Linked DNA regions of Struthio camelus. The protein of the gene in region 1 binds, or shares a complex with, the protein of each later gene. Links are inferred from orthologs where the notes say so. Each region holds a gene or a part of one and is shown in the gene's direction. Other genes may lie near its edges.

Region 1 (10,004 bases):
AGCACAAGATTCCTTTAATCAACACGTAAAATTTGTTTCAGGACAACGACAAAAGAACTTTCCCTCAGGGCTGCAATGAAAGTATATTCACAGAGATAACAACATAAACTAAAGCCTGAAGGCACACCATGAAATTTGTATTATAGAAGGAGGAAAAGGATAAACAGAAGCAGTTTCAAGAAAACCATTTTTAGGGAGAAGTCTGTGACGTTTACTTGAAAAACCGAGCAGAAGGGCACAAACTCAGTAACTCTATTTCACAAAAATATGGCCAGCAGCTTTTCAATACATATATTTGGCTGAAACCTCCTAAACTCATTATGCTGACTTTAACATGCTCAGGTGCAGCGTATTTCAGGTGTTCGGTATAAACAAAGAGATATTCAGAACTATGTGAGAGGCAAATCTTAAGCATGTATTTTTCCCTCTGTTTCTACTTCTCCTTTGCCTGACTAATCGCTCAGCACTCTTCCACAGCCAGATGCTTTTTTCCTCAATCACGCAGAATAGGAGACGCACCGTTGCCACAACGCCCCATACACATCTATTCCAAGCCCTCTGGATTACAAACACTTCGGGTGCAAAATAAGTACTAACAGTGCCATTGCAATGTACAATAAGAGCATAACAGGAAGAAATGAATAAAAGGAAATTAGAGAAGAGGAAAAATTTTAACTTCAGCAGTTTAACAAACCTGGTTTTCTATATAGGAGAACTGTCTATTAGCTTCCTTCTGTGTGGTCCTGCTGCCCAGCACACCTCCAAAGCTGCCAGATCCCTGAGAGGGTTTCCCAGCTGACAGCGAAAGCACACAATATTTAGTTTGTCATTTAATTGACTGGCATTCTTATTTGTAAGAATGTTATCTACAGCTGAATTTGGAAGAGATACAGCAGATTTCCAGACAGTACAATATTCTGAGATCACAAACATAAGCTCATTTTTATGAATATCTCTTATATTGGTTGTTTGCTTAAAGGGCACTACAGTCCCTACCCTTAAAAAGATTAAAATTAAATAAGAGGAAAAATAAAAAGAGTCTTTGCACATGCGATGAACACAGTTTTTCGAATACACACCTGCTTACAACATAAACAATAAGTCCAAGTTTATTTTCTGCTTATTGTTGAGCATGACAAAGGTACACGATGAGAAAGGTGTGTAACAAAAATTTGGGTTCGAGGCCAAAAAGCAGCACTTACACAAATGCAGCACGCAAAGAAAGTCAGTAACACAAGGAGGACAGAACAGCTAAAGGTGAAAAAAGAAAACATAGCATTTACCCTTCCCCAACCTATCACTAATTGATTTACAACAATCGTACTTACCAGTATGAACCCTGTCCTGATGGACTGCATCCAAATACATCCGCATTTCATTTGCGTCTTTAAATGGTACCTTATCAATTGTCAGGAAGCTGGTATCCTTTAGTGTCAGCATCAAACAGCACAGTTTTCTACCGTTTGGTCGTAAGGTCACAGTTTTAATATTATGGCTTAGCTGAAAAGGAAAAAGTGATTGTAAACACAAATCCAATTTAAAAAGATCAAAAGACTAATACATTCCAACAAAAAACTTCAAGAGAGTAAGAGGTACTTACACAGAAATACTCCCCCCTGCTTCTTTTCGAGCAAACATTAAGCCTCACAGAATTAATGCAATCAGTTATCCTGGAAACTGACAGAACTGAAAGGACACTATCGCTATAGCTGAACAGTCCCTGTACTCCCGGACAAGCTTTCTGAAACTTAGTTCGCTGTGGAGTGTGATGTTTCTGAACATAAAGGGGTAAGAGCTTCATACAGTTCCATTTAGCTGTCTGAAACTTCTACATAAAGTCCGAATTATTATTTAAGATGGTGAAAGTTTAAAAGTTTTGAGTTTCAAACACTAAACACAAACTTCCATTTAGTTTATAATTTGCTCTCAGGGAAAGCAGATTTGACATAGCTGAAACAACCCAGTTAGGAAATAAGTCAATAAGAAACATATTTAGTCCATATGCAGGATTAAAACAAACGATATCAAAAGTTTCAGGGTTATGGTCTATCCCAAGAATAATTTTAATAAGAGTTTGTGCTCCCTAATATCGCCACTGCTGCTTTATTCTACGTTATACCATTATATAATTGTTACTTCTGATAAGTCACCTTCAAGAAATTGGCCGTTCAGTAACGATTCCATCCATGCAGCCTAAGGGTAACTCTTAAAACAGAGGAAGTAAAAGCGTATCTTGCATCTTCTGGGTAAATGCAAGTTTAACGACGTATACCTAAGTGTATCCACATTTTAAATTCCTTTGTCCTTCTTCACTTAATGTTTCATTTTGCTAGTCACTTCTTTAGCCTTGCCTAAGATTAGGCGCTAGCTATGCAACAAGTTCCACGCCAGTATACCGCTGTGTTCACATAGTCCTCCAAACAACACTGGAAGCCACAGCCAAGGTCATTGGGCAGGCTTTTACTACATCCCTGTGTAGTGCCTATCAGATTGGAGGCTTCTCCTAATTCAGCCATCTGCATACTGCCACACTATCAGTATAAACAAAAAGGACTCGTGATTGTTATTTAAACTTGTTCAAGTTTTACTGTAAGACAGTAAAACGCATACCACGTCTATCGGTGAGATTTCCCCCGCCCGAGATCACTAGCTTTTTGGGAAGCTAATCTAGACCTACCAGCAGTTTATGAGAGAGGCTGGAAATCCAACTCAAACAGAAACTAAAGGGTTTATTTTGCTGGAAAAATTAAACTTCTGTAATGTTTTATGCTTAATTCTTGCTCTTAAAAAAAAATTCAGAGACTGAAGAATTGAGAAGAGGCTTCAAATTTTTCATCCTCGCGTAAAACATGGAGCCCACCGGAAAGGGATTACAGTTTACTTCACCATCCCAATGAACAACCCATTTCAACTCAAAATGCTACTATGAAAGGACTCTACGCATACTCTCCATGCACCTATTATGACCCAATAAATGTTATAAAGTTTTGGGAGGCAGGGGCAAATGAAATAGTTCTTTTAATACTTATCTACCATCTAGCCCAACCTGGTCAAAGCTTTTAAAAATCTGTGAAACGCATCATCTTATGTAAGAAGTTGGATGAGGCACTAGTGGTTGTGGAAAGAAATATAACCCCGGATCTATCCAAATGTTTTATTATAGAAATGAAAAAAGGTAGAGAAAGGGTCTGTTGTACTCCCAGAGCAACTTGTCAACAAAGAAAGAATGCTACTTCTAAAATAGATTTATCAGGCATTTGTCACACCTGTAACAGCACGCAAGAGCACTCTGATGGACTGGGGGCAGCTGACGTAAACTACAGTCAAGTGCAAGCCTGTGGTACAGGGGGCAGTCTGCTTTCCCTGCCTGCTGCCTGTTCCCATAGCACTCTTGTGCTCATACTAGTGTCTGTGTTGCTGCAAGATAAGCAGGACTGGAAAGCAGACCCAGTTGAAAAATAGCCACCACCAAAACGTACAAAATTTGTCTAAGGATGTGGCTGCATACTTGCTCCTCTTCCTTCATTGCATTCCTACCTACATGGCCCATGCCACTCCCTCTACCAGATCCGGCATACAGTCCCCTTCCTTGAGTGAATTCAAGTTACTTTTCTGCCAAGTCTGTGAAATGAACTGGCTCACAGAGATATCTGACAAATGCCAGAGCCAGCAGACGGCAGCAGGCTGCGAGCAAGACCTGCCCCTTAGGCCACGATTAGTTGTTACATAGGTTCAACCTCCCTGCGGACCTATGCTTCAAGTCACTGCGATGCCGCGTTAACGCTTGCCCGTGCGGAAAGGAACGTGTGAGAACAAGCACCCCAGGAAGGTACGCGGGGAAGAAAGGACCGCTCTTCTCAGTTGCGACATGATCTAACGCTGGATTAAAGCAAACATGCAGTCATAGCATCAGATATGAGAAGACAGACCATTCTATCTTATACCTTGATTCAAAAGCAACACGGGCTGATCTAAGTGCTAATTGTCGTGGCTGTTAGGTTCGTTGCTGAGACTTTTCAGCGCGCTAAGGCAACAAAACCTGATCTTTCAAAAATAAAACAAATTATTCTTCACCATGTCAACGCACAGAAGCGGCTCAGAGAAAGGTTTGATGAACGCTAGAGCTGGAAAATGATTGTGGCAAGAAAAAGCAGAAGCCAACACCTAGACCAATTAAGGCTGCTACAAAGTCACTAACTGTTAGAGGGTCTTTTCTTAAACTGCTCGTGCCCTCTAACATTTTCTAAAATTAGACAGTAATTTCTTACATAAAAGAAATAACTAGGAAAAGGGAGATGAAAACAACTACAGAATGAAAAGAATAAAAAAAAAAGACAGTTTAGGCTGAATATGGGAAGAGAATCCCTAATAATAATCTGCCTCAGTCTCCCAGTGCACAAATCACATTGTCTGGCATATTTAAAACTTAAAACTGGGCAGAACTGTAATACATATATAGCACAACAGTGTGGTATAAGCAATTAGAAAAGCTACAAGTATGTTAACACTGATACTCTTCAGCCAGGAAAACTGCTAGTATAAATGCAATCCTTTAGGATCACATGGAGCGTCACCTCTAGATTCTGCAAACTTATCAGTAAGGTTGCATGTTCCAGAACTTTAAACGTGTGAAACAAGACAGTGTATACTTCGGTAGTTTTTCCTCTGCTTTTCATTTCTTTCTATTCAATCGTAGGCTTGATGCTGACCTCAGCAGATCCTTTAACAATACACCTGAATAATTTACAGGAGAGTTATACAAAGGGATTAGTGTTCAGGAAATGAGGAACAAGAAACAGGGACAGAGGGAAGTTTATGCGACTCTTAATAGCCTTGAAGGGGACAGCTGTTCAAAAAAGGGCACAAGCCATGCACTGCTCAAACAAAAGCCTGAATATTTGCTATACCTGAAATGTCTTTGGAATTCCTCCAACATTGTAGTGAACCACTAGACTCACTTTGTTGTCCTTCTCCACAATTTCAAAGCTCCCTTCTTTCCATTTTGTAATCCCAGTCTGCATGCTGCGCATCCGGACAGGTCCATGCACCTTTAGTGGAGCCATGCTTTCTCACAGAAAAGAACTAATAGGAGTAAGCGTACGTCACTTTAAAAAGCTGTGGAAAAGAAGAAGATTATAACTAGCTAGTAGCAAATAGTCTCTACAGAAAGATAAAAATAGGATTAAACATTTCTGTAGAACTTTGATAAAAGTAAGCTTTGCTGTTTCTTTAATCCACCTGAAGGAAACGCAGACCAATAAAAACTTTCCCAGTTCGGACAGTAACACACTGACTCCTAAACGCATAGAGGTGAGTGGACTCAACAAAGACACAGAAGTTCTTTCAAATCTTTAAACCGATTTCCACAGGTTTAAGGAAATTAAAAAAAAAAAAAAAGGCGCACCTATCTTCAGGAAGAAAGCGTAAAGTTGATAAAGGGGAAGAAAACAAAGTTTCAAAGGGACCCTACACCGGAATTACTTTGTTTCCGCTGTGACCGGAGACCAGAGAGGCTCTTCGGCGGGTCGGGTTACCTCAGGTATCACCGGCAGGTAGTTACCAGCGCGCCTGAAGCGCCGCCGTGCGCTCGGCCCCGCCCGCCCGGCTCTGCCTCGTCAAGGGACCGGCCCGGCCAAGCGGCGCCGAGCCGCGGGGCTTCCCCGCCGCAACGGGGATTCACGGAGGGGGAAAAAATAAATAACAGCAATGAATGGGAGAAGCCCGCGGTCCGCGAGAGGGGCGGGCGGGCGGCAGGCAGGGAGGGAGGGAGGGAGGGAGCGGCGGCAGCCGCCTCGTCGCCGACACACAAGCCCGGCCCGGCCCGACCCGCGCCGCCGCTGCCGCCGGGCCCTCAGCGCCGGGGGGGGGGGGTGAGGGCCGGGGGCTGCGCGCGCAGCGGCGGTGGCGGGGGGGGAGGGGGAAACGCGGGGGGCGTCCGGTACCTGCGGCCCGGCGGGTCCCGGCGCGGCGGCGGCGGGGGAGGGGGCGGCGGCGGATGGCGGGAACCGGCCAGCAGCGCCAGACGCCGCGCGACGCACGCACGTACGCACGTACGCACGCGCCCTCGCTTGCGTCAGCGCTGCGGCGCCCTTCCCGGCGCGCCCCGCGCCCTCCGCGCCGCTCGCCCCGCTCCGCCCCGCCCGCATGCGCCCGAGGGGCGGCCGCCCGCCCGCCCCGGCCCCCGCGCATGCGCGCGCCGCGCGGCTCCGCTCGGCGCCCCTCCCCTCTGCCTCCGCCTGGCGCGCGGGCGGCGGCCGGGCGCGCGGCGGGGTGAGGGGTCAGGGGTCGCGGGTCAGCGGCGGCTCTGCCTCTATGGCGGCGGCGGCGGCGGCCTCCTGAGCTGGGCGCGGCGGCAGCAACAGCAGCAGCAGCGGCTCCTCCTCCTCCTCCTCCTCCGCTCCCACCATGCACAGCCTGGCCACGGCCGCGGTGAGACCCGGCTGCGGGCCCCCGGCGGGCGGGTACCGCGGTGCGGCCCTTAGCTGCGAGGGGCCTTTTCGCCGGGGCGGACGGGGGCCGCCTGCCGCGGTGCCCGGCCGCGGTCGGCTCCCTGCGGGGCGGGGGGAGGCGCCGGCGGCGCCGCCGAGGGAGCGCTTCCCCGCTCTAGCTGCGCTGGGGGGAGCCCTTCCCGCCCCTCCGCGGCTCCCTCCTGCCCCGGGAGGGCCGGGGCGCTTCCCCGCCCGCGGGGCCGGGCCCGCGGCGGCGCGGCCACGGGCCGGGGCTCGGCCGGGCCGGATTTTCCCTCCTGCTGCTGACCGCGCTCTCCCTCCGCGTCTGGGCGTGTTCCGCAGGTCCCACCACCTCCGCTGTCCTCTGGGGAGCTTTTTCACTTCTGGCCTTCACTACAGAGGCCAAGACGAGAAAGTGAAAAGTCCCTCAGGGCAGCAGACGAAACGTGGGAGGAAAGGCAGACCAGACCGCCTTTTTCTTCTCTGCTTCCCCAAGTACCTTGCAGGGCAGTCTGTAGCTTGTGCTGTTCCCTTCCTCCCTCGCGGGAAGCTGCCGTGGTGGGACGGGCTGCCGGGCATTAAAGCTCTCAGCGGTAGAACAGTACCTTGACCCAGCTGGCAGGATGGTTCCACAAGTGGAAGTTGAGTTTGGGAGGCTGAGCAATGCGGTTATTGCTTTTTATCTCCCATCTGAAGGGGTTTCTGTTTTGTTTTCGTTTCTCCAAACGCTCGTTCATTGCATGTATGAGACTTCCCAGAGCTGACTGAGTCTCTGGTGCGTATTGTGTTTGGGGAAGTTTACTGCAAGGCCAACAGTTAGAGCTGTTCTCATATTCGCTTAGCATAAGGATCTGCTTGGATTGAAAAACAAGCAAGGCTGAATAAAGTACTTATGAGCAGGAGTTGAGGGAACTTCTTAAGTCTTCCACTTTGTTTAAGTGGTCGTGATTGTAAATTGGTTCTTCGAGTGCTGGCAAATACTTATGATTTAAAGTGACACTTTCTGGAGCACAGAAGGGTATGCAAATTCATCGTGAACTCTGTTAATCAGCACTTACATTTTTATAGCAATGTAATTCATATGTGCTTGTCAAAATGCATGAGGGATTGTTGTGTTTCCCATTAATCCTCTATCTGTAGTCTAATTGTCTCCCTATAAGAGGATTTTTTTGAAAGACAGTTTTAATAAAATAACATGATTCAGGAATTAAATTGCCTTTATTTTGTGGTTCGTTTGAACATATCTTTAATTCATATGTAATTCCTGCAACCTGATAGTTCTGTATTGGAACAATTCTTGTCTCGGTCAGTTAGCATGCAGTAGAGTAAGTGTGTTTTGGAGGGATGGTCATCTCTGGAGAAGTGCTTGGGAACTATGGTAGATAATGTTACCTCCTGGTTGGATTGTGAGTTGGCTCAGGAATTCCCTTGGGCATAGTGAATGTCATCACGATAAACTAGATGGTAAGCTAGAGTATTGGTCGTTTTATAGTGATGCCAGAGGCAGAGATAATACTTAGATTTTAGGCCTGAAGATGGGATAGTGTGCTAGAGAGGAAGACTTGAGATTAGACTAAAAACAATAAATGTAGCTTTAATTAGCAGCCAGGCAGTGAATCTCTGACTTAAACTACCTAATTCACTACTATTTAAATAAAAAGTTCATTTTAGTGTTTTGGGGTTGGTGATCTATCAAAATTGTTATAAAAGCATGTACATCCAATCAGTCGATGTTTCGTTTCCTCAGTCGGTATTTTGACCAGCGTGCCTAGCAGTAGCTGCTTAAATAGGAAAAGAAAGCCACTTGCCTAAACTGAGTTTGTTATGTAATTGTTGGAGATGTAATCTGGCAGAGATGTTTGAGGTAACACCCCTTCTCATGAGGAAGGTGTTGCAAAATCTTTCGTGATGCAGAGGTGGCTAGTTCATGCTGTGTTAAGATATTGTTGGTAATTTTTGCTTTCCTTATGTGCAAAAGAAAGTCTACCTGGGAGGGTCCTACCTTGGAGCCTCTGGGGTTTTCCAGAGCTTTAGGTTTTGTGTGTGTGTGTGAAACAACAAAGTAGGACAGTAGGAAAAAAAATATATTTTTGGTTAAACTAAGATGAGAGGAGCAACTGTAGGGCTTAAGGAAAGCAGTTGGTTCTTGTTAAGACAGGTATCGGACATGAAAAACTTAACTGTGTGGAAAATCTACTTAGTCTTCTGTAGGGATCGCAGGCACATGATTGTGCTTTTAAAGGGTCGATGTATTTAAGCTTACAGGAACTGAAACTTCCAATGTGTCTAGAAAAATAGATGGAAGCTTTAAATAACACAATTACAACAATGTTATTGCTACGCTGCTTGTTCCTCTGCCGTTCCAAACAAAACAAATGAGCTCTGTTCGTTCTCCCTCTCTTTCTTAGCTCCAGTTTAGGAGTTGCCATTGGAATTGCACTTCAGCTCTTAAAACAAACCAAATTTGTCAGTGTTACTATCTTCATGTGAGATTTTGGGAAAAAAAAAGATGTGAGGTGGCAAGAGGAAAAAAAGGGGGATAGCAGGAAAGATGAAGAGTTAAAAGCCATTTCAGCTCCACAGTGTAGGGATTGGTAACAGCATATCAGCTTATATGCAGGCATGCAAGATAACTGATGTGATGGAAGTGGATGGGCAATAAACAAATTACAGTTTCTGCTCAATATAAATTCCACAGCAGGAAAAGAATGACAGCAGATATAATATGTGAATAAACTGTGGAGGGCTTGCAGAAATAGAGATGGAAAGCTCTGGAGGGGGTCTCATCCTGGGAGGCTGCCACTGACGTACGATTTCAGTTTGGCTTCCAATCACTTTCAATTCCTGAACTCATTTGTATTCTCTTCGATGACTCAGTGATGAGCTGCTTCCTAGTAGTGTTGCTGTCAGTGCAGTACATGCAGTGCTTACATCTGTTGTGGTAAGCGCGTGAGGAGTTTCAGTCTGTGTGCTTTTTGTTTGTTTGTTTGCTTTTTTAAAGAGAGAGAGAGAGAGAGAGAAGGAAATGCAGTCAGTTCTCTGTTTCCAGCCACGATTGCTGGGTATATGGGGATGCTGAGCTGGCTGCATGCAGGCTAGCTCAGGAGCGGTAGCATACTAATAGAGCTGTGCTCTATTTGAGCAGCAGACACTGTAGGAGAGTGTTTGAATAGGTTCAGAACTGACTTTTAGAATTCAGACAGGAGGTTTTAATGTCTAAGTTTATCTGCTGTGAAATTTTTGATCTGAATCACTAAACTGTCTCTTTAGGAAGCCTGCTGAGCATTTGTTTGCACCTTGAGTGCTTATTATGACAGCAGAGGCATGAGACAAGCTTTCGCTGAAAGATTTGCTCCTTTACCTTTCCACAGAAACTGTGCTACGATTCCATAGTACCCATTTATCTTCCTTTTCTTCCCAGCTCTCCCCTGTTTTTTGTTTGTTTGCATGTTTTTTGGCCTTGATGTTATTCTTTGTCTGATATTCCACAAAAGGCAGAGGAGAGATTGTCATGAGTTTTTCCTGAGTAGTAGTAAATACGCCTTGACCGTGAAT
Region 2 (9,504 bases), on another chromosome or scaffold:
AGTCACATGAGAATAAACAGAACAATCTGGAAGTGCTTTAATTTCCCCTTAGCCTTTTAAGGTGTGATCTAGTTCCTTCCAGCCATATTCTTCCCAAACGAAATGCGAGATCAAAAATATGCTCTTGGGAGTTGTTTCCTAAGTATTCTGCCTCTTTGCTAAAAGGAACTCAAATACTTGAGGCAGAACAAGTCAAATTAATACAGCTTCTTTACCTTTTTCTTGTTTCTCCTTCCTAATGCTGTCTTTTTTTACTGCTCCTTCCTTAGCAGCTTTTTTTCTAGCACCCACAATGCAGTTCTTGTTCCTTGGCAGTCATCTAAAATAAAACAGCAAACAATAACATAATCTATTTTAAGAAGGAAAGAAGGCAAAACGCTATCTGAAATGCAATTATATGACTTTTTCCTTAGCTTTGCCCCCTAAGAGGAAGCCCAGTCAAATCAAACTGAATATGCTCCTTTGGTCATGGATCTAATTTTCCAATAACAATTACAATTTCTCAAATGCTAGTGTTCATTTAAATTTTACACCAATTGCATATTGGCACTCAAATAGTTTGTAGAGTTTTATTTGTATTTGTAAAGGGGTTACCTGACCAACCAGACTGTCTGTGTCATTTTTAGTCTGGAATCTGTGCATCCTTATTAGAATGTATGAGCCAAGAGGACAGAGTTAGAGATGGAGAGTCAGTAATTCAAGTACAGCCCAAATCCCTTTGTCCGTCTTTAAGAACTCAATGCGTGAAGTTTACTGAGGTTCTTAGCCAAATCCAAACATAAAGAATGATGGAACACACTTTATGCTCTTACGGACCTTTTAATGGCTATTCTATAAGCCACCTAAAAGAAAGGGGGTATGCGCTGCATAGTCCCAGAAGAGCTGTTCTGCAAAGGCAGAAAACGGAACTTTTCTTTACCTTTACACCATGAGACTGTGCTGCAGTGATACATCTTCCGTGGAATATAAACCCACTGAAATAGCTGGCGTCCCAAATCTCCCCCTTGAGAGTAATGTGGTGCCTTTTAGAAGTCATATCTGGGCGAGAATTCATTCATTTGAGCCTCCGCTAGCATCACATTCTCTTGGTTCTTCCTTGCACAAGTTTCAAGCCTGAGAACATCAGCAGCAATACGCTCACAAAACGCGTATGCTCAATATGCTCACAAAACATAGCACCTTGTGCAGTTATGGAAACCCTCTTTTGTAGCACATTTACTATACTTCCCGTCCCAGTAGCATTTTACCCCCATCTTTTTCTTAGGCTAAGATTTTTGCTCCCGCAAAACGGACATCTGCTTTAAAAGTCATGAGGACTTCATTATCTACTTTGTCAACTGATGCTTGCTGCCCATCCCACTTCCTATAAAGTATTCCATCTTCTAAACTGTTAGCTTTCCTGCTCTGATCAGAAACCTTTTCATTTGGATAGAATAATTTAAGATGGCTTCATTAGCCACATATGAGTCACACAGGTTTTTTTGCTATCTCAGTCACCCGGGGAAACTTTTTATTGCTCTGAAGTCCATTTCTGCAAATCTACATCCATTACTCCAGTAAATATGCTATACAAGAGTGACTTACATTTCTGCAAATTATAGGAAGAAGCTTTCTCTTTCTAAACATGTTTGTTCCTCTTGCAACAAATCTTTTGCTCTGCTGTCTTCAGCAGAGTTTGTTATTAAGAAGTAGGCTGTACAAAAAAGACCATCTGGACAGAAGCACCACAGTTCTATTCAACTGTGAGACAGCATCCAGCAAAGTGTCCTTCAGCGTGAGCCACAGATATAGGCGTCATCATCCCTAACAACAAACTTCGTCCCAAAAATGAACAAAAAATGACTTTTGCTCGCACACCAAAGGCAGAAAATCTGGAGAGTCTGTGAATCCAAGAGATGAGCAAGATATAAAAAAACACTGAGGGGAAAAGGTTTTAAGAGAAAAGCCAAATTAATTCTTTGCATCTCTACATGAGATCTGGGAGACGTTCCCACACAAGAACCTTTACTGACGGGGTACAAGTCAAGAGAACTGTCTTACTCTGCAGTGTTAGTAAAAGAAGTGAACCTAATTGCCTAAAATGAGATATTATTTATCACCAGTGGCAGATGGGATTCACTCAAGAGATTTATACCAGCTGAAGGATGAAGATGATAACCTATGAACTGTGGGTGTACCTGCTGATCAAAATGGTCTCAGTATCAAAGAAAGAAGGGTGGCAAATGTCACATCAATCTTTAAAAAGGTCATGCAGATAATCCAACAAACTACAAACCACCAAGTCCAATTTCTGTACACATTGCAGGAAACTACAGCAATGAACAGAAACGTGCCCAGAGAGGTGAGACATTGAGGATTAACCTCCATGTGTGTACATAAAGGGACTGATGATGCACTCTTCCTGGGTACATGCTGCAGCTGCTCAAAGATTCCCAGTGAGACAAAATCATTCAGGATTGTCAAACTCATGGGAAACTACTGCAGGAGATTTTCATAATATTGAATGACTAAGTGGAATGGTGATGAAATCAAATATTTGATAAATGTAAAATACTGCAGCGAGGGTGGGGTGGAAAGGGAAGGAATCCTTCCCTTTTGTAGAGTTCAGTGCTACCCAGCCAGCTATTGCCGCTGAGGAAAGATAACCTGGAGTCATTGAAGACAGTTCTTTGATAGTGTCAGCTCAACCCTCACTGGTCAAAACAGCAAACAGCATACTAGGCATTACTGGAAAAGCAACAGAGAACAAAACAGGTCTCATTACATAAAGGTGTGTAAACCTACAGATCTACGGGACACTCACAGGTGGAACACTGGATGCAAGTTTGGTTCTCACTACTCAAAAAAAGGATATACCAGAAGTAGAAAAGCAGGATAGAAGGGCAATAAGGATGACAGAACTATGGAATAGATGCTACAGAAGAGGACATTAAACAAATGAGACATCTAGCCTAGAAAGAGAACACCTGAGGTAAGATAAGTAAGAGATGTACAGAATGATGAGTGACGAAGAGAGTGGAGAAGGAAGTACTGTTTTGGACAGAAGGGGTCTTAAATTGCCACGCTCATTGCCATAGGTTGGCGGTGTCACAGAGTTTTATGGATGAAATATAAACAGGCTCAAAAAACACGTAAGACAAGCTCATGAAAGAAAGTTCCATTTCACTAATCACAGTGATGAGGATTCAACCTTTGACTCAGGAAGTCTCTAAGCTGCAGATGGCCAGAAGCTGAGAGTACACAGGGGGAAGTGTCACTCTGTGCTTTCCCTGTTACACCCTTTCTTTAAGCTTCTACTAGCAGTCATGGAGAGGGCACTGAGCTCAATGAACGTTATGAACCTCACTGTTTTTGTGCACAATGATGGACGTTTCTAGCCACAGCTACTCATACAAGTCTCCTTCATTTAGTCCAGTACCTCCTATCAAGAAAACCTAGTTTTGCTGTAATAAGCTACCACTCTCCCAAGTCTTTTATATCCCTGTATCAAACCAGATTCCCTCGTCTGTATAGCTGTTTCAAAGAGAAAGAGGAACAGCCACTAGGGCCTCTTCCACTCTGCAGACCACTGAGATTGTTTCACCTCCCCAGTGAACAATGGTTCTTTAATCCCACAAAACCAAAAAATCTTTCCCCGACAAGAACAGAGTACTGCAGTAATTCCTCTATAGATGAGTGCTGGTGGGTCAGAGGGGAAGATAAAGTTGGTCTCTTCTGCATATCCTCAGTTTCTTTGTAAGCTGAAATGTCTCCTCAAAGACTGAGTGTTCAAGCCAGGTGCAGAAGTTCATCCTTTCCACCTATTTTTCCAGAAAGCCATCTGAGTTCTGAGGAACCTTCCTCTCCTAACTACCGAGCTTTCACATTATTTCAGTGGGGGTAATCAACCTCCTCTATGTATCACAAGTAAGGCAGAAAAGCTCTCCTACATGTCTAAACTTTCCCAGGTTTACGGTCCTGCTAGCCTCACCGTACACCTACATAGATGACTTCCTTCAGCAGTTTGCAGTCCTTTGATCTTCCTCCCAAATCTTACAATTTAAGTCCTTGCTGTAGCTGTTAGTAAGTTCCAAACTGCCCCAACTTCCAAGACTCCTTGTTTCCTAGAATATACTCTGGGCCAAGACAGCAAGTTCACCAGCCTCCTCTTCCATCTCCTTTACTCGTTTAGCCTGTGTATTTTGCAAGCAGATTTCTCACAGTGATCTAGTCAGTGAACAGGCACTATACCAACAAGGCTTTCAGAAGACCGTCTTCCACATGGCTAACATTCGTTCAACTATTATCAGCACTTCTTCAGGCTGTGCTTGGTCTGTCTGTGGGCTGCTGTCGATCTCAAGATGCAGTTCCACAGGGTAAGCTGATGAAATAGATCTTTCTCCCTTTCTTCCAGTCACACCCTACTGCAGCTCCACTGGCCTTCAGGTCTTGCAAGAAACCCTTCAGTGGATAGTTTCCAGTTGAATCAGCTCATGGAAGAAACAGATGAGCCCCAGCTCCAGGATCGCCTTTGGGCAGGACAAAAGTGGACAGCGAGAATAAGCACGTTTCAACAGCAGGAATTGGCAAGGTTGCCTTGGCTGTTCACTGACGCACGGCCCTGGCTTCTCTGTTCTTCTCTGTCACTCTTCCTCAGACACGCAACCTTTCACAACACATTTGTCCACGTGTCAGGCACGTGCCCTTGCTCCCACTCTGGGTTATGACATGAGAAGACATTTGGGCTGGAAGTTTCATCTGTTGTTTCAGAAAGCAACTCGGATGAGTCAGTGATCTTAACTGAAGGATATCATAAGAAAATGCAATCAATCACCTAATAGCTCTGCTGTTAAAAGCAGTTGTGATTGATTCTCCTCAGCCAAGAAAACAATGCTAAATCTACCTCTCAGCAGGGACAGGCAAAGATGGAGAGAGCTACAGATGCAGCTACAGGTCAACCATTTTGCTTCCTCCTGAACAGCACCTCATTTCTTCAGATCGCTGTATGACAGCCACCCTGCTGTGTGGGTTCTAGTCGCAGTTATCTCCCTGGAGGTCTGTCCAGCAGGCCACCAGGAAGCCGAGCAGCTCCCCATGCACCTTACACTGGGATTGTTGCTCTCCTCTAATTAAAAAAAAAAAAAAAAAAAAAGGGAAAGGAGGAAAACTAAGGGAAGGGAGAAAAACGCCCCCGCCCGCCCCGCACAGGCCCGCCGCCCCCGCGCACGCGCAGAGCGGCCCCCCCGCGGCTGGCTGCCGCCGGGCTCCCCCTGCCGGCCCGCCCCAACGGCCGCGCGCTGCCAGCCGCCGGCGCGCTCCGGCCCCACCCCCTCCCCGGCGCGGACCAATGGCAGCACGCGGAGCCGCGCAGCCAGGGCCAATCTCCCCGCCCCCTCTCCCCGCTTCGCGGCGCCGGCCAATCGCTTTCCACGGGGACGTGCAGGCGGCCAATCGCCGGGGTCGATCGCGCGCGCGTGTGGCGCCCTGTGCTCGCTCGCCTGCCCGCCCCGCGCCAAGCCGGAGTCTCCCTCCCGCCCTCCCGCTCCGTTGCGGCCCCGCACTGCCTTTACGGCAGCGCCGTAAAGCGGTGCCGGCACGGCGTTGCGGCCGCGGGGCGCAGCGGGGCCGGTGGCCGTTGCGCGGGGCGGGGCGGGGGCGCGGATGCCCGGTGGCGGCGGCGGCAGCAGTAGCCCGGCGCCCTGCACTCAGGTGGGAGCCGAGGAGCCCGGCGGCGCGGCGGGGGCGGGCGGCGGCCCGGCGGCGGCGGGCGGCAGGATGAGCCTGTCGCCGAAGGAGCTGTCGAGCCTGCTGAGCATCGTGTCGGAGGAGGCGGGCGGCAGCACCTTCGAGGGCCTCTCCAGCGCCTTCCACCACTACTTCGGCAAGGCCGAGCACTTCCGCCTCGGCTCCGTCCTCGTCCTGCTCCTGCAGCAGCCCGACCTGCTGCCCAGCCCCGCGCAGCGCCTCACCGCCCTCTACCTCCTCTGGGAGATGTACCGCACCGAGCCCCTGGCCGCCAACCCCTTCGCCGCCGTCTTCGCCCACCTCCTCAACCCCGCGCCCGAGCGCGGCGGCGACGAGGCCGAGCGCACGCCGCTCTCCGGTGCGTCCCGGGGAGTGGGGAGGAGCGGGGGGGGGGTGCTGGGCCGGGGGGCAGCGGCTGGTGCCCGGCCGCGCTGCTGGGGGGCAGCCCCCCCCCCCCCCCCGGCGGCGGGCTGAGGCGCTGGGAGCCGCCTGGCCGTTTGCCCTCCGTAGCGCTTCTCGAGGCTTTCGGAGAGCGGCAGGCGTTCCCGTCCGGGGGTGGCGGGGAGTGCAAAACGGTGGCGCTTTTTCATGGCTAAAGCGTTGCCGTGCCCGTGCGGCCTGGTCTGGCAGAGCTTGCTTGACTGGACCGTAAAACGGAGCTTTCGTGAGTAAGCTTTTACAAAAGTCGTGAAGGTAATAGGAGTTTCTCAACAGCTTCTTAAAAGCGGTGAAACAAACTTTGTAATGAAATACGTGGAACCCTATATGTGATACAGTTTCCCCCAGCAGTAAATACATGCATGACAGTGATGGGTAAATCACTTCCTAAATTTTTTCTTGGTTTACTTTCTGTATAAATGGCGGTGCATATCATGTCATGTTTTATAGCTCATTATTTATGTAAACTTATCTAAACTTACTTAGTCTAAACTTATGACTGACTTAGTGTTAGGTGTTGCATGTCAGCATGTTCTGCTTTTAGATTACTTTTGTGTTTAAGAACCAGTAGGTATAATGTTGAATTTTACCTTAGGAGCTGAGTAGATACAGGTTTTGTGTGTATTTACAAAGACTTTTCAGTTGCACTGATGTCAGCATAAATCATACAGTAGTTTGTGTTCTGTTTTTGTTTGCTGCTTCTCCGTGAAGACTATTGAAAGTACTAATGTGGCTGGCCTAACAGTCAGGGATTATTTTTCCTTGTGTCTTCATAGGCTTTTTACCTCCCATAACTCCTCCAGAAAAGTTCTTTCTGTCTCAACTGATGTTGGCCCCCCCAAGAGAGCTCTTCAAGAAGACTCCTCGGCAGATTGCTTCAATGGATGTAGGGAACATGGCCCAGTCAGTGGATATAAGCGGCCTTCAGCTAGCCTTAGCAGGTAAGGAAGAACCGCAGTGTGCCATGGTTCAATTAGAATTCAACTGTTAATTATAATTTGCCTGTGAGCTACTTGGGAAACATTCTTGCCTATCCTAAATATTAAAAAGGTTCAGCAGTGGTTTTGAGTAATAGGATAAAGCAATCTGTGCTTGAGGTTTCTACTTAAAAAAGCAATTTCCTACGCGCAGAAGTCCTCACTGCCTTAAAAATAAGATATTTTCACAAGTATAAAAGTATTTTCATCTAAAGCGTTGTTTCTTTTCTTTCCATGAATGTTTTCATCTCTTTTCACTCTCTGCAGTAGTTCTAGTATGAAAGAACATAGGATAACTGTCACATAGCAGTATTTCAGCTGCAGCTGGCAGATTGGCTATTACAATTGCATCTCCAGTTTTATGAAATAGTCAGATTTTCAAGTGTGAGCTCGAGACTGGGAGCACGGTCTGCTTTTGCTAGGTTGAAAAGAAAAGCAAAGTAATGCTTATCCTTTGACAGGAGAAAGGAGCATGATTGTTCTGATCGTTTCGTCTTCTGGACGTAATCTGAAATAGAAAATATTGTGGGGGACGAGGAGCCAGTCTAGACAGCAAAAATTAGTGGGTTTTTTTTTCCCCAGTTATGTGCAAATGGGTTTACTCACCTGAAAACTGATCCTCCTGGTTCTTTATCTATATAATGTGGTTCACCTCTCTGAATTATGCACTGACTAGGCTTTCTCAGTCCCACCGTTGTATTTTGATCTCATCGCTTTTTGCAGGATCAGTCACTGTTTTCTTATGCTCTGTTATACTGTCCCTTGTTTGCAGTGTATAAATCTTCTTTGGTGTTCTCCTCAGACATGATTTCCAGACTGCAGGATGTTTTGAAAATGCAACATTGAATACACTAACCTACCTTTGAGGGGTTGTCACAGTTGTATGGATGGGTACTCAATGCATTTTATTCTGCCCTTTTTTTAAAGTGCAAGACAGTGGCGTCTTTAAAAACAGTACAGTCATTAATGGTGCTTTTCAAAATGCAGCCCTGTAAGATGTGCTCGTATGTTTACTTAAGATAGTAAACATGCATAACTAGCTTTGTTATATAACTCTTGCAAAGACTCATAGCAATACTGTACTTCTGATAAAACGTTATGCTGCCTTTCTCATACTTCGAGCTGTAGCTTCCAAGAATAAATGTCTTCTTTCTATCCACTTTCTTAGAAGTTGACTCTTTTCGCTCTTATTTCAACATTGTCATGCTTCTTGACTGTCTACTTGTAATGTTTCAGAAATACTGAAGACTTCTGAAAAATTTACAGTGCGTTTCTCCTAATGATTCAAAATGCAAGATGAAGCTGTGCTGTTTATGCAGTGCAGACTTATTTCTGTTGCAACGCTTAAATACGATGTTTGAGGTGTTGGATTTGTCCCATTTTTCTCCATGTTTCCTGGAACGTAAAAGTTGTAAGGCTTCATGGCTCTGGAAAGTGGATTTTGTTGTTTGTTTGCTTATTTTTGTTTTTGATTTTTTGTCCCCGAAATGAATTCGGGGCTGCTTAGAGGAGAATGATTTCTGAGCTACTTTAGATTGTATCTGTGAAATCCACTTAAGCTAGTTAGAAAGTATTACGCTCTTCAGTGAATCTGTCCCAAATGTTTTTTCATGAATGGGGAAAAAAAAGCACTTAGCTTGTCCTCTGGTGTCTGACCTGAGGCATCATTTACGCATTCTTTAAGTTAAACATGACGACTTCCCTTTTCAGCTATAGCATGGGTTTTTTGTTTTGTTTTGCTTTGTTTTTTTTCTAAGAACAGAATGTTGGAAAACAGTGTCATGGGAATCAACGTGAAAGCTTGGTTTGTTCTCTTACTTGGGTCTGCAGAACGTTCATTCAAGCCTCTGTCTGTTTCTCTAACTTGCTTTTCTTGACCTGGTGTGTTACCCTATCAAAAATGTCACTTTCTAGTAGCTGGAGGGACATGTCTCCGACAAAGCATTTTTAACTTTTTGATATCATTTGATAACCCTTACTTGTTTTAAGGGTAATTGACCAGTATTGAAAATTGATTTCTAATGCATTGTAGTATCTTCTGTTAAGAATTAAAGGAAGTTTCTTGTAATCTGTAAATAAGGAAAAAATAAAATAAAATAAAAGCCCTGTAATGGAACCTTAGGAATTGTTTTCTTATTAGCTTTTTAATTCAAATGTATTAGTTCAAGAGGCAGGCTATATTCTTTTCTGTTAAATGAGTATCTTAATTATAATTTACTGCTCTCAGTTTTTGCTTCCACTTATCTGAAATCATTGATCCAGCCCTGATTCTTGGAGCAGTGAGTGCGGGCTGTTGAGCTTCACTGTGTTTAACTCAGGCTTCATGCAGGCTCCTAAAATCAGTGAATTGAAGGACTGTAGCCTA
Region 3 (9,791 bases), on another chromosome or scaffold:
AGAGCGTGACTCTGCTTTGAGTTCTTACGAAGGAAAAGAGCCATTGCTTGCTCCCGTCTTATATTCTGTGAGTTTGGGAAAGAATTAAAATAATGAACACATTTATTGTCCTCCTCCTTTTGAAATAATCAAATTACGACAGGAGTCTTACTTAGGCAAAGCCTTCCCATTTGAAATAGTGCTGCCATGTTTGCTTTTCCTTCCTCTCTCCAAAATCTCAGTATGTGCTACATTTATTGAGTCACATGTACAGAATAAAATTTTATGTTACTTATACTAAAGCAAGGTAAATCTTGATTGATCATGTTTTTCCCCATCTCACTACCTACTCTTTTTTTGTTGGATAATGTTGTCTTTTCTGACTCAGAATACACCAAATACATTAGCAGAAGCATTCATGTAACCATGGCTGCTTTGGCAAACCAAACATTCCATCCAACCCCTTGGCATTAAACTCATGCTGGCATGCCAGACAGCCCAGAATCAACCAATGAAGAGTTTGGCTGGCTGGAGCCATTTCAAAATATTACACAGAACTGATGCTGTTTAAAAGAGTTTCTTTTAGGTTATTTCTAACTAGTTAATACAAAATTTGATTCAAACCAAATTCTCACCTATAAAGTAATAATAATTATTTTGCTAGTCACACTCTCAATGTAAAAGGGAAAACATAAACTAGTCAGTAAAGAACTGTAATACAAAATACAATTTTTATTCTCAAGTACTTCTTCATTTCTCCAGCAACTGTTCATGAAGAGATCTGTTTTCACTGAACTTAACCATTCCAGTTATCAGAAAAAGATAGTCTGTCTAAGCCAGGTTTTAAAATGCTTGACGTAAGCTGAAAGGGAAACCTTTAGAAAGCTTTAGAAAAAGGAACTGCCATATTTTTGAGGTCTGTTTCAAAATTCACATTATTGTTTATATCCCACATCTGTTGTCCCCCTATATTTCCTCTTGCCAAGACAGTCCCAAGCTTCGACTGCACCGGTGTCCACTTCTCCTTGTACTTACCCAGGATGTATGTCTTGTTCTGACACCAAACAAACAGTCAGGCTGCTGGCAGGTGCAGAAGCTGACCAACAGGATATGTCTGTAATGATGGACTGACTGCCTAGCAGTTGCTTGGTCTGCCTTTTTCCCTCTTGCTTGAGTCTTCTATTTTAGAACTTACTTCACTGGAATCCACCCTTATAGTGCACAGGCAGTGGAAAACAACCTTGCCCGAGGGGAAAAAAAAAAAAAAAAAGGCTATAACTATTTGTGAAAATATAGAACTTACAGAAACGAAAACTTAAGGACCACCTACCTGGTCACTCCAAAAGTTGCATTTTAGCCACGCTATATGGACAGACACAGGACTATATTTCGTGTCTGGTGGGTGTCCTATCGTGCCAAGCACCACACGGATCTGAAGGCAACCAGAGTACCTGCAAGAGCTCACAATCACATTTTAAATAGATACATGACATTGCCTTAAAATTATTTCCTTGAAGTTTCTGTCATATATTTTCAACCTACTCTGCCCCTGAACTCAGGCTGCCCATTCTTTGCTCACCTCCTGCTGGTTGCAGCCTAGCAGAGTTCCTCTGTGTCTATTCAGAGCCCAGAGTTCAACTCCTCACCTTTCACTCCCGCTGCGGAAACTTTATGAGGGCTTAGGCAAAGGCGACAGGGGTGTGTTTCCAATCGAGAGCTGGCTGTCCCCTCCTAGAGAAGTCATGTGAAGCCAATGCCATGTCACTGCTAGTACAGGCAGTGTTCCCTTTGCATATGCACACACTGTCACTCATTTAAGCATTTGGAATGTATCTCTGCAGGTGAGAGTTTTCCACTGAGAGTTAATGCTTATATCTGGGAATAAAAAAGCCAGCTACACCTTAAAGATGAGTATCTTTTATAATGCACTAATTCATGTTTTGAGCACAAAACAAAGCGTCAGTGCAATTGAGTAAGTCAAAAGTGTATTTGTTAAAAACAGTACGGGTTATTGGGGAATCTGGTAAAAAAAAAAAGCAGTTCAGTTTTCAATATAAGTAAGTGTTGCACTAACTCTGTTGTTACAGTGTGTTTCAAACCAGTTACACCAGTTACAGTATTGGAACTACCTATAAGCAGAAGATGCAAATAGCTTAGAATGTGCTCAGTTCTGTTTAAATAAGATGTTTAAAGACCATGAAGTCTGTAATTATGGTATTACAGGTAGCAAGATGTAATTTGCAGTAGCATTTGTCTTCATTATGCAGATGTGGCCCCAATACACGTTATTTACCTAACATACAGTGCCCTATTATGAACCAAACTCTGAGAAGGGAGGGTGTTACTACTCACCATAACTTTCCAGATTTATTTTCCCACACAACAAAAAATAAGGAGTATTTCCTCTCCCTCCTAGTTAAACTTGTCTGGTGCATTCATAGGCGAAGCAATATACAGTGCTATTTTGTGAGCAACATCTCAGCTAGCCACGGTTAGAGCTGCGGAGAGATCTGCAAGCATGAGTAATGACAGTGTCTTGCTGTCTGTGCCTGGTTTCTTCTACCTCGCACTATACCTATGCTGTTACCAATTAACTTTTTCTGGAAGGAGAATATTCCCAGAACTCCCCTCCCAACATCACACTGTTTGTCCTCTTAGCGCTAAAACCATTTGCTGTTGCTTCATTTCAGATTTAAGACTGTGTTATTGTTTGCATTGACGCTTTCTCTTGACTAATTCTAACTATTTCTTAGTGACAAAAGAGTTTTTAATTCTTAGCAGTTGCTCCTAATTGTTATTTAGCATACAGCAGACTCAACAAGAAGGAAAGTGATTCCTTCAAACTATTTACACATACACAGAAGAGGAAGTGGAAAATGGCATTTCACGAGAGGGGTGCCATGTGAACGTTGTCCTGAGCTGATACTTATTTGGAATGGCTCTTCACTAGGAGAACTGTTCACCCAATACGCAAAAGTAGGTGAAAAGCCAGGGAGTTTTGCAGACCCCAGAGTTTCTTTTAAACCTGTTCAAATCAGACACAGGTTACAGCTGAAAGCTCTACACCCAATAGGAACAGACAACCAGTATTTTAGTCATATGAGGACAAAAATGTCATTTACTTTTTGGACTGCAAGTCTGGGTCTAGTCCAGGTTGGAGGTTATCTAAAAGCTGCTTCTATTTGTTGGTTAGCCTGGGCCCTGCACTGGTATCTTCATCACAAAACCCTCCAGTGTTACTGCCACCTTTGCCGAGGCTCAGCTTTGAGGAGTGCAAGAAGACTGCTTTCCTCTCAGTGGAAAGGATTTTTGATCAGACACTTCATAAAATAACTTCTCTTTGTTCACTCTCTACAGTTTTTGTAGTAGTCACTGTCTGTTTTGCTGTTTGTAAAAAATATTAGAAGGAGAAACACTAGGAATTAGCTTAAAGGATAGTATAAAACCATGCTAATAATTCCACTAATGACAAAGATGAATCCTGGAGTTCGTGAACCTCAGCTCATCATTAATTCCCTGTATACTAAGCTATAGTTCTAACCATCTGTGAGGGCATGTGTGTGCCACCTAATACTTGTTGAAACACCTTTGGAACAATAGAAGTTTTAGGAAAATGGAAATGATGGTTACAGCTAAAACATGTTCAGCAATACTTTTATCTTTTAACTCTGAAGTCATGTATTTTAAGATTTCCATATATAAGCTGTCTACTCTTTGTGCTGCTGAAAAGGGCATGATCCGGAATATACAGCTCATATTGACTAGTACAAAAATGTTGAGCTAAAGCCTGTCAATCCTCCTTGCAGCGTACTACATCTACACATGGACTGGTTTTGTTAGTGTCGTCTTAACAGAGCTGTATAGAGGGTGGGAAGCCTGTTCAGGAACCTGTTCTGGAGTGATGAATCTGAAAGCAAGTCTGGTAACTTCCAAATATAAGAACTATGGGACTGACATATTTTAAGAGCAGTCTGCCTTTTCCAGCTATTTTTCCTTTGTATGCAGCTGAAATTAGCCATGATGAAAAACACAAATTCTGTTCTCCTTGAGCAAAAGGTCTGTTTCAAACTACCGCCAGCACTCAAACATCCTAGCTTTTTTTTCTAACCTAGTTGCAAACTGGCAAACATATTAAGCATAATTTATCCCAACTGATTTTTTTCCTGCAACATATTTTCGATTAGGGTAACAAAGCATGCACATTTCTGTGTCCTGAGAAGATTCTTCCTCCCTTTTTGCCTGGATTCAACATAAATTCAAGAGCTGGGCTTATGAGCAAGAAAAATAAAGTACATACCTTACTCTGAACTCTTTAAGTGAAAAAAAAAACAAACAAACAAAAACCAAGAATCTAATTCCGTATTTATGGCGTGCTGCAATCTATCCCGATGTATTTACCTGATAACAACTTAGGTTTCTTTGCCCAAATTCAAGTGACCATAGGAAGAAAGGTGATTGCTTTCTGCTAGTCTAGCATGTTGCATAATATATGCATTATATGACCTAGAGACTGCAGGTCTAAGGTGAGATGGCAAAACAGTAACTATCATCTACGAAGATAAGCTTTGAATTAAAATGAAGTTCAGTAAATACTGCTTGATGTCCGTAGATGCTGACACCATCAAGGACACTTGCTAGAAAGCAGCAGTATTCAAATAAACTTATCCTAAGAGGTCTTACATTTCTGCTGAGGTATGAATACTCAGCCTGGGACACCGAAACATGTCGGACACGAAAGACAGTGACTCCCTCGCCCCGCCAGATAATTGTATCAGAATAGTAAGGAGGTAGCCGAGGTTCAAGAGGACAGACTCCAAGGGAACCCAAATGACAGGCAGGAAACAATTCTGCAGCAGTAGCAGAGCTGCAGAATTCTAGGTTGCAAACCTGCCCAAGAAGGCTGGCAGCCCGGACGAAGCGAGGTACTACCTCCGCTTAATTGTAACTACACAGGCTTCCAAATACATTGCCTGCCTGCCGGCAGCATCGGCCAGCAAAGCAGGAGAGCTGGCAGCGCCGTTACGCCAGACGCGTTACATGAGGCTGCTTTACCTGACGGTAAAGCTCCTGTTGCTAATGTAACCTAAATGGCATTTAAGGGGGCGGCCCGTCCCCTCGGCGAGGGCAGCTGTTTCTCTCGGGGCTCTGCCACCCGGCAGGGCCCGCGGGCCGCGGCCGCCCCGACCGGGGCCGGCGCCGAGCTAACGAGGCGGCGCGGCCCGAAGGGGTCGGTCCCTCAGGGAGAGATCACCTAACGCCTCCCCCACCCTCACCCCCCGGGCGGGCTTTGGACTCGCCCGACGCGTCCGGCGCGGGGAGCTCGGGCGAGCCCATTAGCTGCCCCGGCAGGGGGAGGGAAGACAGGCGACTTGTCACAAGGGCAACGGCTCCGCGCAGGCGCAACCCGGGCGGAGCCCCGCGTGGCGCTCCGGGCTCCCCCCGCCCCCCTCCCTTCCTCTCCGCGGGAGCGCGCGCCACACGCGCGCCCGGCCACACACCCCGCCGCGCGCCCTAGCCCGTTTCCCATATCTCTCGCGAGAGCGGGCGGTGGCCGGGGGCAGCCCGGAAGTTCCGCCCCTCCTGGTGGCCGCATCGCGCCTGCGCGGAGGCGAGTGGCCCGGCCCAAGCTTCCGGGCAGGTAGCGGGGCGGGGGGAGGGGGCGGGGAGGCGATGGGGAGCGCCGGAGCAGACGAGTCGCGGGGGTGAGCGCGGGCTAGAGCGGCCGGGCGGCCCACAGGAAGAGGAGCGGCGAGGCCCAGCTCCCCGGAGCCGCGAGCGGCGGGGCCTGGCGGCGCCAGCAGGTGCGGGCGGGGCGGCCCGGGCGCTGCGGGAGGCCCCCAGCGCCGGCAGAGCTCGGGGCGCCGGGATCTCCCCTCCCCTCCCCTCCCCTCCCCTCCCCTCCCTGTGCCCCCCCGGTGGCGGCGGGCCCGGCAGCGGCCTGAGAGGCCTGGACGGCCGGGCGGGCCCGGGGCGGCAGCGCGGCCTTCGCGGCTGAGCCCGTCCGCTGCCGGGAAGCGGCTCGGCCCGGCGGCGGCTGACGGCCCCCCGGCCGTGAGGCCCGAGCCATTAGCAGCCGCTCGCAGAAAGGCTCTGGCAGTTGCCTCACGTCCCTCTCCCCGCTGTAGGTACCCTCAGCTAACTTCGTGCGAGCATACCGGCAGTTTGCTGCAGTACCTGAGCCTTAGCTGCGTATTTCTGTAATAATTTTGCCCGTGTGGTTTCAGAAAGTGATAGACAAGCAGTCATGCCAAGTGTGATTTATCCTAGGCGTTGTACTGCTGAAACGGCATTAGTATAAACTGGAATACCTTTCTTTTTCAGTGTTTCCTGAATTACATCAGAGAAGCATCTGCCTTTATAAGTGTCCTTTGTAAAGCAATCTATTACTTGTCTTCAAAACTATCCCAATAGCACCTTGGTGGAAGCTAAGCAAAATTAAGTGTGAGGATTCCCTGTTTGTGCATCTTATGCCTAGAGTTTCAGAGTTTATGCCAGGAGAAGATGAAAGGGAGAGGCACTATTGACTTGCATAACTGGACTCTATTAATTGTATGTCTACTCTTGTAACACAAACGGATGGTTTAGTTTTTCTTCTCTTTCAGCATGTTTAAAGGAAGTGATAAAAGCAAGGAAACAGTTAGTGTAAAACTTTAGCTTTGCTATTTGAGGTTAAGAATAGAAACGTGACTTACTCTGCTAGTGCATTCATTCAGATACCTAGATCTTTCTTCGTGTAAAGTACTGTATGTTTCTCTCTTTAATGCAGCAAACTGATTAGATCACACAGCTTGCAATTCTACGCTGTCAACTGAATTCAACATCAGCTGTTTTTACTACAATCCCTGCAAGATGCCAGCAGCCCTTGCAGAGAACAGCCAAGTTATCTGTGAAGTATGGGCAAACAATCTGGAAGAAGAGATGAGGAAAATTCGAGAGATTGTTCTAAGTTACAGTTACATTGCAATGGTAAGCATGTTATACTTGACCTTATTGCCACAGTCAGGGGATTTTTTAGGGGCAGGAGAATAAATTGATTCTTGAACCAGAAATGGTGTTTTCCTGTGACCAAACTGAGCTAAAAGTTAAGTAGTGAAAACTTAGAAAGCTGTTCAGTTATAAGGACTTCATGGATTTTGGTAAACATAGTATTCCGTACAGATTGAATGAGAGGTGGGGAAGTGAAAACCACTTTCAACATCTGAAATCATTTAATATTTAACTATACCCATTGCATAAACTAATGCAGTCTCAAATTAAAGAGATCAGATGTACAATTGGGTTTAAATCTTCAGATTTCACTGGTATACTTGTCCTCTGAATGCCTGTTTCCTTTTGGCTATGGGAAATGCCATGATACTGTAGGACAAAAGGCCTGCAAGTTGCAACTTGGTGGCTGGTAGGAATGCCTCCTTTTTTTTACTGCGGTCAGATGCTGATTCTTATGGAATAGATTTTTCTGGCTGCAGGTGTGGCAATGTGTTCGAAGAGTTTTATTTCAGAAGACCAAGGATCTTAATGAGAACTCTAGTTTCAAGGTGAAGGGAGAGATGGGAGGAATGGTTTCTTTCCTGCTCTTAAAAATAGGTATCTGCTCAGCAGGAGCCAGTTAATTACATAACTGTTTCTAGTTATTGTACTATGTCAACTTTGCTTAGGGAGTCTAAACTTCAAGACATTCGAAGTCCTTAATAGAAGTGTGGCATAAAAATACATATCCCTGCAGAGTATATGTTATTCAAAAATGAAACACTTAAAATCCTGTAAATGTGATTCAGTTTTGTTGTCATCAGTTGGTGGGAAACAAGCTTTCTTGCTTCTTTGCTCTGTTTGATGTTAATGAAAGCATGTTTAGATAGATCTATGCTAATGGCTGGACTGATATCATATATGAATAACTGGGCAGTAAGACTGGACACAAAAAGATTAGGCTAGGAGGAAATGTTGTCAGATGCATAATACTGGATTCTTTATGAAAGTTTTTGGATATGTTCTCTATCAAGCTGGTCAGAAGTTATGTGAATAAATTTGAGTGTAAAACTAGTCTAGAAGTTAGAGGTTTAGTCAAGATAGCACGCAATCACTAGCCAAGTAAAATGTTTTTTATGTAACACACAGTTTCTCTTTTGTTGAAGTCTGTTTTGATTGGCAGTAGCTTTTGTTAATTTAGGTGTTGGTTGTTTTTCAAAAACAGTGAAGATTATCACTAGCTGGACTATCACATTAAGACTGTGAGTGCTAAATTTAACTTGTATTTAGAACGTAAAAGAACACTGAATAAATATAAAATGCCCATTTTAGTGTATTTAGGGAAAATGAGAGGATTAGTCTTTCAGGAGAGAGATGTTTAGATTATGCAGTAGTGCATATTGGGTGATTTTATAACTTTTTTTTGCTCTGGAAGGAAACAACACTGAAAGAGGATACCTGGAATGAATGAATGAATATAATGATTAATGAATTGTTTAGTTTTTTTTTTTCCCAGTAGCTTAAAATACTTTTTTTCCTTTCTGCCTTCTATTATGTAAGTAATTTCATAGAAAAATGTACAGATTCAGCGCTGGGACCTAAAAGTGTGGAACTGAACGTAAGACTGCTAATAAAGGAAGTGATGTAATTTTTTCCCCCCCCCCTCCTTTACTAGGACACAGAATTTCCTGGAGTTGTTGTAAGGCCAATTGGTGAATTCCGCAGTTCCATAGACTATCAATACCAGCTCCTTCGTTGTAATGTTGACCTTCTGAAAATTATCCAGCTGGGCCTAACTTTCACAAATGAGAAGGGAGAATATCCTTCCGGAATCAACACCTGGCAGTTTAACTTCAAATTCAACCTTACGTGAGTCTTCTGAGCTAGGGAACGATCACCTATTCTCTGCTGATGCACTGATGTTTTCCTTTGGCAAATGCAGGTGTCACTGGGTTCATCACTGGTGAATGATTCTGACCAATACAAATTCAGAGTCAAATACAGAAAGATTATGTGGGAATCTGTTTTGTCATGACAGGAGTTTGCAGTATTTCTGGAAGTCAAAGCTCTGCTAAAATGTGATCCTTAATACTCTTTTCCTCGCTAAATGGCTTATACCCAGTATTTGTATGTGCCGTAAACGTGTGTTCTGGAACAATGCTATAGTGTGGTTTTTTTTTTTTTTTTTATAAACTGTATCTTTTAAAAATTCATCTCTCTTTGCTAAAAATAAATGGATGTGCTCTCCTCTGCAATGAAGACGACACCTCTTACAGACCCATGCCAAATACAAGCTGGGGCATTTAAAAAAAAAAAAAAACGTTGGTGGAATCATAACAGTTATTCAAAAGAATGACTTTGTTAAATGGAGTATGGCAGTAGTTCTCATCTCTTTTACAGTGTTATTTCTTTGTACAGTTGAAACAAACTTCATAATCCCTTTCTGTGTAATTGTAAAGACAAGTTAGCATGCATACCACTAGAGCTGCCTGGAAACATAAAGAGAGTGTTTCTCTGGCAAACACACAAATTTTTTGGAAATTGGTATTTTATGAAAATGTTACTGGAAAGCATTATAATAATTCTTGTTCATGTATTCTGTTCATGCATTTATTGACACCAAAAGTTGCAGTATTTAGTTCCCCAACCTTGTCAGGGCCTTAGAAGTATTGAAATCAGAATGAAGTATTTTGGACGCTGTGAATGCCTCATTTGATCCAAAATGATTATCTTTGTCATGAATTTTGTTCCCTCCCAGCATACCAAACGAAGCAGTCTAGTACAGAAGTCAGGTTCTTCCTCAGCTTTCCACCAAGCATATCATCACTCATTCCGGTCTTACTTCC

What was found.
Region 2: CNOT9 (region 1) and CNOT11 share a complex: the UniProt entries of both Homo sapiens proteins name them as parts of the CCR4-NOT complex. The link is inferred for Struthio camelus from reciprocal best matches to the Homo sapiens genes CNOT9 and CNOT11.
Region 3: CNOT9 (region 1) and CNOT8 share a complex: the UniProt entries of both Homo sapiens proteins name them as parts of the CCR4-NOT complex. The link is inferred for Struthio camelus from reciprocal best matches to the Homo sapiens genes CNOT9 and CNOT8.

Annotation. Positions count from the first base shown.
Region 1 is NC_090947.1:28,488,875-28,498,878, reverse strand, and holds the start of CNOT9 (CCR4-NOT transcription complex subunit 9), read left to right. Parts: upstream 1-6,228; 5' UTR 6,229-6,405; coding exon 6,406-6,429; intron 6,430-6,948; exon of another isoform or gene 6,949-7,087; intron 7,088-10,004. Other genes in the region: USP37 (ubiquitin carboxyl-terminal hydrolase 37), read right to left, coding at 695-795, 1,329-1,500, 4,908-5,063. UniProt on the Homo sapiens protein: Component of the CCR4-NOT complex which is one of the major cellular mRNA deadenylases and is linked to various cellular processes including bulk mRNA degradation, miRNA-mediated repression, translational repression during translational initiation and general transcription regulation.
Region 2 is NC_090942.1:152,288,851-152,298,354, forward strand, and holds the start of CNOT11 (CCR4-NOT transcription complex subunit 11), read left to right. Parts: upstream 1-5,626; 5' UTR 5,627-5,640; coding exon 5,641-6,082; intron 6,083-6,938; coding exon 6,939-7,103; intron 7,104-9,504. UniProt on the Homo sapiens protein: Component of the CCR4-NOT complex which is one of the major cellular mRNA deadenylases and is linked to various cellular processes including bulk mRNA degradation, miRNA-mediated repression, translational repression during translational initiation and general transcription regulation.
Region 3 is NC_090954.1:11,999,101-12,008,891, reverse strand, and holds the start of CNOT8 (CCR4-NOT transcription complex subunit 8), read left to right. Parts: upstream 1-5,440; 5' UTR 5,441-5,617; intron 5,618-5,631; exon of another isoform or gene 5,632-5,780; intron 5,781-5,914; exon of another isoform or gene 5,915-6,100; intron 6,101-6,745; 5' UTR 6,746-6,828; coding exon 6,829-6,945; intron 6,946-8,620; coding exon 8,621-8,814; intron 8,815-9,791. UniProt on the Homo sapiens protein: Has 3'-5' poly(A) exoribonuclease activity for synthetic poly(A) RNA substrate. Its function seems to be partially redundant with that of CNOT7.